2 linked regions of the Caenorhabditis elegans genome follow. The protein of the gene in region 2 interacts with the protein of the main gene of each other region in a pairwise test. Each region holds a gene or a part of one and is shown on either strand. Other genes may lie near its edges. The genes, in order: rpb-11 and F59A6.2.

Evidence for each region.
Region 1: the proteins of F59A6.2 (region 2) and rpb-11 interact in a two-hybrid assay, tested with the Caenorhabditis elegans proteins (one large-scale study listed by BioGRID).

What each region holds. Positions count from the first base shown.
Region 1 is NC_003280.10:14,058,208-14,061,456, forward strand, and holds rpb-11 (putative DNA-directed RNA polymerase II subunit RPB11), read left to right. Parts: upstream 1-1,877; 5' UTR 1,878-1,882; coding exon 1,883-1,957; intron 1,958-2,005; coding exon 2,006-2,070; intron 2,071-2,125; coding exon 2,126-2,354; 3' UTR 2,355-2,417; downstream 2,418-3,249. Other genes in the region: W01G7.4 (putative RNA polymerase II nuclear localization protein SLC7A6OS), read left to right, coding at 2,532-2,825, 2,878-3,168, 3,242-3,249. UniProt on the Caenorhabditis elegans protein: DNA-dependent RNA polymerase catalyzes the transcription of DNA into RNA using the four ribonucleoside triphosphates as substrates. Component of RNA polymerase II which synthesizes mRNA precursors and many functional non-coding RNAs.
Region 2 is NC_003280.10:5,012,852-5,016,134, reverse strand, and holds F59A6.2 (50S ribosomal protein L29), read right to left. Parts: upstream 1,437-3,283; 5' UTR 1,376-1,436; coding exon 1,190-1,375; intron 1,023-1,189; coding exon 852-1,022; 3' UTR 807-851; downstream 1-806.

The sequences.
Region 1 (3,249 bases), 9.0 Mb from region 2:
CCGATATCCCTTCAAAAAACAAAGACTCGTTTTTTCCAAAACTACAGTAATCCTACAGTACTCCTACAGTACCACTACGTACTCCCATAGTAATCCTACAATGCCCTACGGTACCGAACTGTACCACTACTGTACCCTAGCACTAACTTCCACTTACCCGAACCCAATTTCCCTTCAAAAATGAAAAACAGGATCTACAAAAATACAGTAATCCTACAGTACTTCTACGGTACCATTACAGTACTCCAATAGTACCTCTACAGTACTACTACAGTACCTTGACCGTATCCCTCTACCAACCCCAAACCAATGTCCCTTAAAAAAACAAAAACTCATTTTTTCCAATACTACAGTAATCCTACAGTACTCCTATAGTAATTTTTTCACCAAAAAAACTATAAATTTTGAAGGAAACCAGTACGAGAAATGGTCACCAAACTGGTTAGTCAAAGTATTTTAAGGCTGAGGAATGGGTTATATCAATCGTGTGCGTGTGTGTGTGTGTGTGTCAACTTAATCGAGAGTAGTAGCTGATTCTATATTTAGTTACTATGTGTACTTGGCCGGTACTATTTTTAGAGTACTAAGGGGGGAGTCGCGGTTTTTTTGCTTTTGTTCAAATGGTTTGTTTGTGTTTTGCGTCTGAATTGCCTACCGTTTAGACTAGCAGGTAGGCTCAGAAAATGACTGCCTGCCTACGCGCCTGCCTACGCGCCTGCCTGCCCACGCGCCTGCCTACCAAACTAGTTCAACTCCTCAAATTTTTATGGTAAAAAACGCAACGATTCTAGCAAAAACACACCAAAACTCGGGGAACCAATCAGCGACGCCTACTGCCTACCTCTGATCGCGCGGGAATTCAAATTTTTGAATGTAGCCTTTGAACTTTTTTCGCCCAAAATACCGACTTTCAACTTCCGGGTAAGCTCTCTATAAATGAAACTGTCTAAACCTACAATTTTATTGACAAGTGCGCACTATTTTTAGGGCTCGGCGAGCCACCACCTGGTCAGACTAAATATTTTTCATTTGGTTTGTTGATTTTTGTCGGGGTTCTCCTCGTTTTTTGTCCCCCATTCAAATGATACTTTAAAGAAACATTTGAAGACGCTTTTTTATGAGGGGACAGCTGCAACTGCAGTTGTGCGGCCGAGCGCGATTGCTACCTCATGTTGAAAAAAACTGCAAACTTCTAAAAAACTCTTTTTTCTTTTTTTAAACTAGTCTTATAATGGCCATATTTTCTCTGTGAATGTTAAATTTTTTGGCCAAATTTGCAAGCGCGCTCTATTGTACTTTAGAAATTCTGAGCTTGAAATACAATTAATATATAATTAACCAGCCGTGGACCGCACCTCCGGCGCGGCCCCCGACTTCTGGGGCTGAAAATTAATTTTTTATGAAACTACCGTAACCCTACAGTATTCCTACCGTACCACTATTGTACCACTACAGTAGCTCGACTATATCCCTACACTAACCCTAACTCACTATCCCTCCAGAAGCCAAAACTTCACAAACAAATAGATAAAGTATATATTGCACGAAAACGTATACAAACATTGAAAATCGGGGGAAAAATTTGTGAAGGAGACAGAGAACGCTCCGACTATTGCTTCTTGCTTCTCAGATTTAATGACATTGCTTTTTTGATTTCGCGGAAATAGCAAATAGTCCATTTTGTGCGGAGTTTGGTGCAATCATCGGGAATTCACATTTGAATCACCGCGCAAAACGAGAATTGCGTCAAGGGCACCGAGAATGCGCTAGCAGTCATCCTTGCGCTATCTTTGATTTTCGAAGTTTGAATTATTTTAATTTTAAAACTATTTTTTAATTTTTCTTTGGATTTCATATTCAATTTTCTAAATTTTCAGCAAAAATGAATGCGCCAGCTGCTTTCGAATCATTTTTGCTTCTCGACGACAAGAAATTCTACATTGAAAAAGACACAAAGGTGAGAAAAATGATACTCAAAACGAAATGATAAAATTAATTTTCCTAGGTTCCAAATGCGGCGATCTTCACAATCATGAAGGAGGATCACACGCTGGGAAATATGCTGAAAATGTTAGAAAACCCGCATAATTTCGAAGATTTTCGATTTAATTCCTCAAATTTCCAGCCAACTTCTCAAGGACCCAGAGGTGCTGTTCGCCGGCTACAAGAACCCTCACCCGTTGGAGCACAAGATCTTGCTCCGAATCCAGACAACCAACAATACGACGCCAGCTGATGCTCTCACAACGGCCATAACCGATTTGGTGGGAGAACTCTCGTTGCTCGAGCATCGAATCGACGCGGCCATCAAAAAGTGCACTCAATCCGGCGACCAGGAGCGTGGATATAACTGATTTTTCACTTTTTCCTTACTGATCTCTTACTCTGAACTTTTATAAATTTTAAATTACGCTTTTTTCGCTTTTTTCTGCGTTTTTTTTCTCGAATTTTCTGGGTTTTTGCCCATTTTTTATTTTTTGAAACACTAAAATTCCCCCAAAAGCGCCCCCATTTCCCTCAATTTCCCTCAGATGACCGCGCCACTAATCCGTGTGAGCCGGAAGCGAACCGCAGATCCCCACGATGCTCTGATTCTGCACACCAAACGTGCAAAACACGGCGGCAATCCGCTGGTTTTCACGCTTTACAAGGCCGCCGGCAACGATCTGGAGCTCAATGGAGCCCGTGTGCTGGATCTTCCAACTCAGGAACATGGGATGGAGTTGGCTGACGAGGAAAATCCACTAGGATTTGTGAAGGATGAAGCCGTCGGGCTCGTTGGAGAGGTCGAGAAGAACGTTAAAAAGCCGGCGGAGCAAGTTTCGGTGAGCGCTGAGCTCACGGAGCCCGTGGAGCGCGCAAAAATTGTATTTCCAGCTCAACGGCCGCCTACTACAGCCCGTCACCGACGGCGGCGGCGCCGCCGCCGGCAGCAGTGACGACGTCGTATACGACTACTACGCGATACACGAGAAACGGGGCAACCCAGAAGTAGTGGGAAACCTGGAGCAGGACATCGAGGGAGCCGATTTTCGGTTCGCCAAGCGTGATGAGCTGGATTTGGGCGACGAAGATGACTCCGATGGGCCGCCGGCTGATGATGAAGACGATTCGAATGATGAGGATAACTGGCGGAATGACTATCCCGATGAGGAATCCTATGATGAGGTTGGAGCTGCTGAATTCTGTGAATTTTCCATTGAAAATCTTCAAATCCCCAGATGAAAATGTTGATTTTCAGGACAGCGA
Region 2 (3,283 bases):
TAAAAAATTAGAAAAGCTAGAGCTTGCAAAATGTATTTTTTAAATTGACATCAAAATAAAGTAACTCTATTTAGAAGAACACAAAATGAGTACCGCAAAAAGTGATTAGAATACAAAAATGTTTAGTTTTAGTTTGAATTTTGCCTGATAAAAATATTATAAAAACATTTCGTAATCAGGAGAAGCATTTTTAGTCATTTTTAGTTATGAAACTCGTTTATTTAATGGTCAAAGTCTATTTTTAACAAGTTTCATGAAAAATGAATGAAGCCTATTTATTTTTAGATCATGGATCACAATGTAGTCTACCTCAAACATCGTTAGCTGGTTTTTTTCAATTTTGCCAGGATGTAGTTTGATGTTTTGTGGATAGACGATTAGAAAAATTTTTTCGAAAAATCTACAATGCTCTCCGATACGATAAAAAAGTTTAAACTTAAAAAGACCTGCTGCTAAATTTTTTCAGCAAACGACAAGTTTCAACCAGTTTTTGAAAGTTCAGTTCTCGAGTTTTTCAGTAAAAAATAAATTTTATTTTCAAACTAGTGATATATTTTTTTATAGTGAGCGGAAATTTCGTAGAAGTCACTGTCACAAAATAAATAACTTTTAAGAATTCGGGAATAAACTTTGTTCTGATAGCGTCGCCTCTCCAGCGCCCAGGGATCTCAAAAACTACAAGCAATATGGCCGCTTATCTAGACGTTGAAAAATTTCAACTGTTCGCCGGTCAACATAGGTCTATAAAATTTCTAGGCATTAGAACAAATTCGCCATCAACTTCCAACAATTACAAAAACAAGGGCTTTTACAAAACGTTTATTCCGAAATTTCAATTTGCAAGAGTTTCGCTAATTCTCATCGTTCTTTTCATCATCAGCTCCATCCTTCTCATCCTTTGACTCTTCTTTTTTCTCTTCCTTTTGCTTCTGTTTCAATTCCTTTCGTTTTTGAGCCGCCAACTTTCTCTCCTCTCTCTTTTGGTCCGACTGCTTCTGGATCCTCTCCTTTGCATCGCTCGCCTGAAATTAATTAAATTATTGATTAGATTTCAGCATTTAAGAGTTCAAGGGATTTGGGCGCTCTTAATTCAGGTGCGTTCATAAGATAACCCATGAGGAGTCAAGGCGTTTCAGGTGTTAGAGCAGCAAACTACAAAAGTATCTATTAAATTTCAAAATAAACATACCATTTTCTCCAGTGCAGTGATCTCCTCTTGAGCAGCTCCCCATATTTCAGCTCTTCTCTGTAGCTCTCCTCGAATAGCGAGGAGTCCCTTCTTCGTGTGCATCAGTCTCAGCTTCAGCTCGCCCAACATCTTTGCATTATCGACTGGTGGTTTTGTTGCCACCACTGGAGTTCCTCCTTCTGCCATACTTGATCGTTTTCGATAATCGAAAAATTCAGAATAAATTATTCTACGAAATTTTTAAACTGACATTTTTTTGGTTGAAGAAGGGGAGAGGGGGAAATTCCGTCCGTGAAAAGGGTTACGAAAAAATAAAAAATTTAAAATTGTAAATGAAAAATAAAAGTAAAATTTGTACGAAAACCGTTTTAAGATTAAAACCCTTAAAAAAAATGCTTGCCTGCCTGCGTGCCTACCTATTTTTTTGCATTTTAGCTCGACGAGTCCCGGTGTTTGGTAATGGTTTGGTAATGGCACACTGTAGATTCAAGGTTTTCAAAAAGTTCAATTAATTTACTGAAAGTTCAGCTTGCTTATGATTTGGCAGTAGGCACGAAGGAGGCGTAAGCAGCCTTCAAGACAATCAGGCATTTTTTGCGTCTTTGAGAAAAAAGAATCAAATAGTGTTCTGCATTGAATTAAATAGCTGGAAAAAAATCAAGAAGGTCCAAAGATTATTCAATTAGATATACAAAAAATTGCGAAATAAATTGTACAACTTTCAAAGGGTATGAAAATAATTGAATCAAATATTTGTGGTTTGATTTTTGAATAAATTTGAGAATACACAACGAACTGCAATATTTGTGAGACAGAAAAACGTGTGATGAAAATGGAGTTTGTGCCGCCTCGTCTGGAACAAAACTTAATTTTGTCTGAGAATACACGCTCCAATATCTCTTGGGACCGCTTTCACGATGAATTGAGAAATGAGGAAAAAGGCGTGGGCATCAACATTTTTTACTGAAAAAAAGGAAATTGGTTAGCCAACTTAGCAGGTGGAAGATGTTGGGGAAATATATAAGACCCTGAAAATAAAATCACCTGAAATCTTCAAAAGTTAAATTGAATCAAAAATTGAGTTTTTATTTTTGGTTATTTTTTTGCTGAGAATTTCGTTGAATATCATGGTAAGGATTTGGATTTTGAAAATTCAAAATGTGTTATCAACCCAAAGATCAGTTCCTGAAAAAAGGAGATGTTTGAAAAACAAACGTTTACAAACAGGAAAAAGGTCATATTAATATCCGATTAAATTTTTGCCTTGAACTTTAAAACTACTTTGGAACTTATAACTAAACTTCCGTCAAATTGAAGATATGAAATGAGATGCTTTCTTGTCGGAATATTCAAAAAATTTGAAAAATATCTAGTGAAACATTTTTTAGAGATTTTTGATAGGGCCGAACAGAGTAAGATGGGTTTTTCATGTTTTTTCATGCATAGTTATGCTGAAGCCAAAGACCTGTGCGGCAATAGATTAAAAATATATTTTCAAAATCATTCCTAAAATTTAACTCTTTCACGGATTTTAAAAATCATTAAATTAATTTATTAACTTTCTGAACTTTATGTGACGTGGCTATTGTAAAGATCTGGGACAAAGATAAGAGAGAAATTTGCTATAAATTGAGCAGAGTTTACCATAATCTTCACTGTAAGTTTCCACACTCTACAAAGAAGTCGCCAGTGCCCAATCCGTCCCACCAGGAGATATCCAGACCCAGCCGGGTACGAAGATCGTCTTCAATGCACCATACGATGACAAGCACACCTACCACATCAAGGTGATCAACTCCTCGGCTCGCCGTATTGGATACGGTATCAAGACCACCAATATGAAGAGACTTGGAGTTGATCCACCATGTGGAGTTTTGGACCCAAAGGAAGCAGTCCTTCTTGCTGTTTCCTGTGATGCCTTCGCCTTTGGACAGTAGGACACTAACAACGACCGTATTACTGTTGAGTGGACCAACACCCCGGATGGAGCTGCAAAGCAATTCCGCCGTGAATGGTTCCAAGGAGACGGTATGGTTCGTCGCAAGAACCTTCCAATTGAGTACAACCCATAGAGCCCTCTTCGACCTTGCTCAA